2 linked regions of the Macaca mulatta genome follow. The protein of the gene in region 2 interacts with the protein of the main gene of each other region in a pairwise test. Links are inferred from orthologs where the notes say so. Each region holds a gene or a part of one and is shown on either strand. Other genes may lie near its edges. The genes, in order: SPEG and PRMT1.

What was found.
Region 1: the proteins of PRMT1 (region 2) and SPEG interact in binary tests that used the Homo sapiens proteins (3 or more experiments, as listed by UniProt). The two-hybrid records come from large-scale screens. The link is inferred for Macaca mulatta from reciprocal best matches to the Homo sapiens genes PRMT1 and SPEG.

The regions. Positions count from the first base shown.
Region 1 is NC_133417.1:124,683,264-124,687,065, reverse strand, and holds part of SPEG (striated muscle preferentially expressed protein kinase), read right to left. Parts: intron 3,039-3,802; exon of another isoform or gene 3,032-3,038; coding exon of another isoform or gene 2,999-3,031; intron 2,001-2,998; coding exon of another isoform or gene 1,958-2,000; intron 1,089-1,957; coding exon 1,059-1,088; intron 466-1,058; coding exon 376-465; intron 294-375; coding exon 1-293.
Region 2 is NC_133424.1:62,140,876-62,144,539, forward strand, and holds the end of PRMT1 (protein arginine N-methyltransferase 1), read left to right. Parts: intron 1-228; coding exon 229-379; coding exon of another isoform or gene 380-471; intron 472-771; coding exon of another isoform or gene 772-829; exon of another isoform or gene 830-1,050; coding exon 1,051-1,172; intron 1,173-2,588; coding exon 2,589-2,672; 3' UTR 2,673-2,874; downstream 2,875-3,664. UniProt on the Homo sapiens protein: Arginine methyltransferase that methylates (mono and asymmetric dimethylation) the guanidino nitrogens of arginyl residues present in proteins such as ESR1, histone H2, H3 and H4, FMR1, ILF3, HNRNPA1, HNRNPD, NFATC2IP, SUPT5H, TAF15, EWS, HABP4, SERBP1, RBM15, FOXO1, CHTOP, MAP3K5/ASK1, MICU1 and NPRL2.

The sequences.
Region 1 (3,802 bases), on a different chromosome or scaffold from region 2:
GCCGTACAGGTCACTGGCCACGGAAAGGCTATCCTCTGACCCCCAGCTTGCGCCCACCAGATTAGCTCGAGATGCCCGCACCAGCGGCTCCACCCCCAGGTGCCGTGGCCCGGCCCCGGTTGCCTGTGCTTGCCTTGGGCTGCCCGGGAGGCGGCGGGTGCCACCCCCACTGCCCGCTTCCTGCTCCAGGACCGTCTGCCCGCTGCCCCACCAGCTCACTTGCTCTTCCGAGGTGCCTGTCACGGAGGTCGGGGGTGTGTCCAGGGAGGTGCCCACCAGGGTGTCAGAGCCCCCTAGAGAAAGGAGCACCATGAGACTGAGGCACCCCTTGTGGGAAACCCGCCTGCCTGCTCTTTGTACACCCCAGGAGCTCACCCGTGGGGGTGCTGAAGGCCCCGTCATCCCGAAGCTCCAGGCGCTGGGTCCCCTGCACATCGCTGATGTCATCCTCAGCCGTCTCTGAGTCTGGAGAAGAAGGGGTCTGTGTGGGCAGGGCCCTCCTCCCTCTGCCTCCAACTCTTCCCTGTTGCCTTCTGCCTCCCTGCCAACAGCAGGCTCCATCTTATCACTGGCAGGGCTGCCAGCACCTCCTCTCTTTTGCTCCCCACATCTCCTGCCCAGCCTGGGCTGCTCAGGATAACCCCTCCCATGACAGTGCCGTGGCTCCATCTCTGGGCCCCTGGTTACTCACGTTTACCTCCGTAGGGCCCTCCAAACTGCCACCCCCTCCCCATCTGCCAATATCTTAATGGATTATCAGGGCCTCCTCCATTCTCCCTCCTCCCATTGTCAGTGAAAGCTTAAGCTCCTGTGCACCCCCAAAATCATCAGGTCCTAGGTTCCAAGGTTCTAAAGTCTGGGTTCAAGCACCCCAGGAACAAAGAGGAGTCACCTCAGAGTCGTACCGCCAGGGCACTCGACCAACCGCAGGGCCAGCCTGTCCTCTACCCCAAACCAGCTGGAAGGCATCGGGTGCAGCTGAGGCAGGGTGAGGAGAGGCCGGGGCCGGGTTGGAAAGCGGGGGACGCGGGGGGCTAGAGCAGGAGCCAGTTTCCTACCGTAACTTTGCTTTCTGCAGGAGCGGAAAACTTCGCTTCCATAGGAGCAGCAGGAGAGAGACAGGGACAGACTGTTATCAGAGCGTTTGTGGGGCAGGGCATGGAGGGCAGTCAGGACAGAAGGGGCATGAGGTACCCAGTCCCCAGAGGTGCCCTGTGGCAATGGGTGAGGAGGGAGATACCTGGGATGTGCCCAGCACTGGGGACCCCCATACTTGGGCTGGTTATTCCAGCTGCCCCAGTGGTTCTGGTATCCTTGGCACTTACTGGTGCCGCCACTGGCCACACACACACACACACACACACACACACACACACCTGCTTGTGTTCAGTCCAGCCGCAGACCTGGGCCTCCCATTAGGAGTCAGGCCCACCCTCTATTACAATATTTGCATTGTGCTTTGACCCTTCCTTGCAAACCAACCCCTTATCTGTCTGCATCATGATGTGACAGGCACCTTCCTCAAGGTCCCTCTCTTCTACTGTTGAATTGTCCTCAAAAATGCCCAGTGGTTAGGTTAGGAGCAAAGGTTCCTGGGAGTATTTTCAACTTTCCCAGATTCTATCAGGTTCTATGCCTCAGTTTCCCTCTGGCTGCCATGACAAGCAGGAGCCACATACTGGTTGCCAAAGCATGGCAATGAACTCCTTCCCACTAGGCCTCACATGGAGAACACGGCACCCAGTGTGCTAGCGAGCCGCCCTCCCTGCTGCCGGGTCCTCTCTCAGCTGTAGGGCACAGGGGGCCTGGTCAGGTGGGTGGTAGATAAGTGTGGGGTGTGTGGGAGGGTCCCATATCTCATGGGCTGTCTTCAAGGGCCTTGATGCCTCACAGAGGGACAGGGACCAAGAGGAGGAGTAGGCATGGGCTAGAGCAAGGACGCCCACGGTCCACGCACCATGGGTGAGTCGGCCAAAGGCCCGGCGGGAATGGCCGGTTTTCTGAAAGAGAAAAGCCAGAATGAGTAGTTGAGGGGGAGGCTTGTTCTTAAGGTCCCTGTGCCTCCCATCCAGTACTGCAACATCAAGCAGAAACTCATTCCCTGGCCAGTGTGTGTGTGAGAGGGGAGGTGGGCAGAGACCCAGAGTGACCAGCTTCCCCGGTAGGGAATGGCTCCCCTGCCTTCTTCCAGGGTACCCAGCTGGGCTCTTGCGAGGAGCGGGGGAGGAAGGAGAGAACGGCAGGCTGCAGGTGGAAGCTGGAACGTCCCACTGGACAGAGGCTCACAGCCTGGGACCAGGGCAACAGCCCCAGAGAAAGAGGATAGAAGACGAGGTAGTCAGGCTCAGTGAGGAGAAGGAGAAGATGGAGATGCGGGGGGCAGGGTGCTTGAGTGACTGGGAGATGAAGGAACGAGGGCGCAGATTCCTGCTGGGGGAGGACAGATACCTGGGTAGGTGTGGGGGAGGGATGTTGGGGGCAGAGGGCCAGAGCCTCACGAATGCAGGAGGCCCAGGTGCGCGGAGGACAGGGCAGGGCTTGGGGAATGTGTTGAGCTCAGCGCGGATCCGTGTGCGTTGCATTCAGGAGCTCCGAAGATGGAAGGCTCCAGAGTGGGGGGCTGGGGCAAGCCGGGCGGGGGGCCGGGGCCCGGGGTTGAGGTTGGACAGAGGAGAGAGAAGAAGGGGTGGCAAAGAAGCAAGTGGGCGCCCCACGCCGAACGCTGCAGCGGGGGTCTTCCCCGGTGGTCGCGGGGATTGCGGGCGATCGAGGAGCGGGGGGATCTGCCCTTCAGCGCGGGGAGGGGCCTGCGCGCCCAGGACGCAAACCCGGGAGCCCCTAGATCGCGCCCGGCCCGCCGCCTCCAGCGGGGCTCGGGTGGGGCAGGCGCGGCTCCAGCGCCCCCTCCACCGGGCCCAGCTGCGGTGACCCGCCCTCCCTCCGGGGCGCCCAGGCCTCCCTGCCCCCTCCCGGCGCCTCCCGCCCCCGGAGCCCTCACCTGGAAACGCTTCTTCACCCACAGCTTCTTCATGGCGGGGGAGGGGGCCGGGCCGGCGGCCGGGCGAGGAGGGGACGGGCGGGGGCGGGGCGGAGTCGGAGGCGGGGCCGGGGGCGAGCTGGGGAGCGGGCGGGAGCCGGCGCGGGTGGCGGAAGGAGCCCGGGGCCTCGGGAGCCGGGTGGGGGTAAGGCGGCGACGGCAGCGGCAGCGGCGGCGGCGGCGCTGGAGTCCGCCCCTCCCTCGCCAGCCTGCACCCCACCTGGGGCCCCTTCCTTGTCCTGTCCCCCTGCTTACCCCGGGGCGGCCCTCACCTGCCTCCCTACACGACCACCAGTCACCTCCTGACGCCGAGAGCCGCGGACCCCCACCCTGTATCTGCCTCCTGAGCCCTAGGCACATGAGGAAACTGAGGCACAGAAAGGGGTGCAATGGCCTCTAGCTCAGGCCACTTTCTGGCAGCCCAGCGCAGCCTCCTCCCACCCTCACCTCCTCCCACGGGGCCTCTCTGGAAGGTCAGCAGCATCTCTACTTGCTCATTCCACAAACATGCGCGCACACACACTGTGCCAGGCAGAACCGAACTCGCCGAAGGGCACAGCGCCGGGTGGGGGCGCCTAGGTCAAACGCAGGGCAAGGGTCCTGGAAGGTGTGGACTGCGTGTTAACATGGACTCAGACTGAAAACCCCCAGGCTTCTCAAGGAAGCCAGAGAGGGCTTTATCTTACCTTACCTCTCGACTGTCCCATGCGCGCCCCCTACCCCCATACATTCATACACACAAGCAAAGGTGCACAGAGGTACCCC
Region 2 (3,664 bases):
GTGCGGGAGAGAAGGGAGCAAAGAATCTGGGCTCAAACCGAGGCGGTTTATTGGGAGCCGGACAGTCAGGATGAGGAGTGAATGAGGAGCTGAGGCTGGGTGCCAGTAAGGGAGGGCCAGCGGGAAGGGGACAGTGAGGTCACAGGCCCTCTGGGAGCTTGAGGGAGGGAGGAGGGGATGAAGCGAGGTGGGGACACATCCCGGAGCTCACCCTCTCCTGTCCTGCAGGAGGTGGACATCTACACCGTCAAGGTGGAAGACCTGACGTTCACCTCCCCGTTCTGCCTGCAAGTGAAGCGGAATGACTACGTGCACGCCCTGGTGGCCTACTTCAACATCGAGTTCACGCGCTGCCACAAGAGGACGGGCTTCTCCACCAGTGAGGCGGGGCCCGCAGGGCTGGGGGCTGCTCCTGAGCCAGGGCCGAGGGGCACCCACATAGTGGAGGGGGTGACAGAAACGGGCAGAGGGGCCGGGCACGGTGGCTCAAGCCTGTAATCCCAGCACTTTGGGAGGCCGAGGCGGGTGGATCACGAGGTCAGGAGATCGAGACTATCCTGGCTAACATGGTGAAACCCCGTCTCTACTAAAAATACAAAAAACTAGCCGGGCATGGTGGCGGGCGCCTGTAGTCTCAGCTACTTGGGAGGCTGAGGCGGCAGAATGGCGTGAACCTGGGAGGCGGAGCTTGCAGTGAGCCGAGATCACGCCACTGCACTCCAGCCTGGGAGACACAGCGAGACTCCGTCTCAAAAAAAAAAAAAAAAAAAGAAACGGGCAGAGGGAGCCATGGGGACATGTGTGTTCCAGCGTGAGCTCTGCCATGTAGCAGTCACATGGCCTTGGGCAAGTGACCTGAGTGTGCAGTGCCTCAGTTTCCTCATCCACAAAAGCCTGACACGGTCCCTGTCTCCAAAGCTGAATGACAGGGAGGTGACTCACGGACAGCAGTCCCGTCAGCTGTCAGGGGGGTGGACATTCCAACAGAGGGAACACAAGACTGGGGCCAGGGCAGCAGGCCAAGGCCAGCTGACCCGCCTGCGCCCCCAGGCCCTGAGTCCCCGTACACGCACTGGAAGCAGACAGTGTTCTACATGGAGGACTACCTGACCGTGAAGACGGGCGAGGAGATCTTCGGCACCATCGGCATGCGGCCCAATGCCAAGAACAACGTGAGGCTCTGGGCAGCTGGGCAGGAGGGTGGCAGCCGGGGTGGGGAGCATGGATAGGGGCAGTGGTAGGGGGGAATGGTGGCAGCGTAGGGGATGGGGGTAGCTGGGGCGGATGGGGGCAGCTGGCAGGGGCGAGTGCCTCTGCCTGTTCCCGGGTCCCTGAGCCCCTCAGCCCCACGCCTGTCTACACAGCAGATTTCTTAGCATTTACTGGAAGATGGGCCTGGGGACCCAGGCCAAAGCCCTGTCCTCCTGGTGCTTCCAGTCTACACAAGGGGATCAGTGACATGGTGATGCCAGTGGGAGGTGACGTCTGTCAGGCTGGGAGCAGGGCAGACAGGTGTTGGCGTGGGTGACCTCCAGGGCAAGAGGCGGCCCCGGTAGAGCGCACAGGGTTTGCTAGCCCAGGTGGGAGGCATGAGAGGAGGAGAAAGGCAGCTTTTTGTTTTCCACTCCCCCTTTTTCCTCCTGAGCACCTGGTAGGAGCTGCCATCACCTGAGATCAGGGGGTTTCCAGGGGAGCTGGGGGGGGCTTCTGGGAGAGAGGGTCTGGGCAGAGAGGTCCAGTGTGGCGGGTTTGAGCAGGCAGGAGGATGGAAGGCCGGGAGCCTGGAGTCACCGGGAGTGGTGTGGGCTGGAAGAGTGAGTCCCGGCCCATGGGTGCGAGGGTGGGTGGCACTCAGGGCAGTCATGGAATGTGGGCCCCGGGACGCCCTCGAGCCCGTGACAGCAGCAGTTGTCAGCTGGGCAGTTTCAGTGCCCCCCACCCCCGACAGAGGACGTTCGTCACCATCTGTGGAAACATTTGTGGTTGTCACTCTGGAGAAGGGGTGCTCCTGGCATCTGGTATGTAGGGGCCAGGGGCTGGTAAACGTCCTACAACCACAGGACCACCCCCTGCAAAGACTCCTGTAGCCCCTGGGGCCACGGCGCTAGCTGGGAAACAGATACTGGAGAGGGAGGAGGAGTCCTCGGGGCTGTTGGCAACTTGATCCCCTCTTCCTGTGCTGGAGGGTATGGGGGGTCTTCCGGAAGCCTGGGAGGAGAAGTGGAGACAGAGGCTGGACCACTGCGTTTCACTGGAATGTTTGCCTGAGCAGAAGTGGGCTTGGGAGAGGTTTTCTGATTTATGAAAGAAGCAATCACTGCGTTGCTGATAGGGAACGTCTTGATGGAGAAATCCAAGGGCAAGGGATAGCAGCCAGGCTCTGCTCCTGAGTGAACCTAGTGGGCTTGAGGGTGTCCACGTGGCGCTGTCCCTTGACAGGGTCAGGACAGCTGCTAGGGTGGGACCAGCAGTTGGGGTCTGCAGTGTGGAGATGGGCAGGAAGCTGGAGCCCAGCGCATGGCCTGCCTGCACCCCCCTGCCACCACCTCCTGGTGGGTTCCGCCCTCATGCCCGCCCTCTCCCCACAGCGGGACCTGGACTTCACCATCGACCTGGACTTCAAGGGCCAGCTGTGCGAGCTGTCCTGCTCCACTGACTACCGGATGCGCTGAGGCCCGGCTCTCCCGCCCTGCACGGGCCCAGGGGCTGAGCGTTCCTAGGCGGTTTCGGGGCTCCCCCTTCCTCTCCCTTCTTCCCACAGAAGGGGGTTTTAGGGGCCTGGGCTGGGGGGATGGGGAGGGCACATCGTGACTGTGTTTTTCATAACTTATGTTTTTATATGGTTGCATTTACGCCAATAAATCCTCAGCTGGGGTCTGGTTCCATTTCCTGGGGGCAAAGGAGGTTTGGGGTTTCCTTCGCAGGTGCTGAGGTGCCAGCCTGAGCAGTGGGGGGACCGGCCTTGGAGCCTGCTGGTGGCTGCCATTCTGTGGATCTGCATCTCCCCTCCCCTGTCGCTAGGCCTCTGGCTCCCTTCCACGGCTCTCTCTCAGGGTCTGTCCCCTCCTCGGCTGTCTCAGGCTCCCTCCGGCTCCCTCCCCTCCACGGCTCTCTCAGGCTCCCTCCCATCCACAGCTGTCTCTCAGGGTCTTTGTCCCACTCTTCATCCCCTCCTGGGTCTGCGCCCCTCCCCTCTGCAGTGCCCCTGTGTCCTCCTGCCTGGTGGGGGATGGGGTTGGCGTTCCAGCACAGCCAGCCCTCAAGTTTCCCAGAACAGTCTCCCCACCTTCCCCCAACACTCACATTGTACCTCTCTGGCTGTTTTTTCCTGTTTGGGTCCCTCCAAGGCCCAACTGTGCCCAGCCCTCTGCAGCTGGGGACACTGAGTGGGTTGGGGGTGTATGTTGGGGAGGATAGAATTTCTTGTGGGGGTGTGGCCCTGCTTCCTCCCCTAGCATGGCTTGGGGCTTAGGGCTGGGGACTTGCCCTCCATGGAGGTCAGTGGGAGTTGCAGCTCAAAGGTGGCAGGGCCTACCCATCTTACAGAGGCCAAGACGAGGCCCCTCTGCCTCTGCTGCAGCCATGGAGTCTGCACCCACCCTTCTACCCTCAGAGCCTGGCCATGGGGTCCTGGGTCCCCACAACACTGTGCACTGGACCTCCA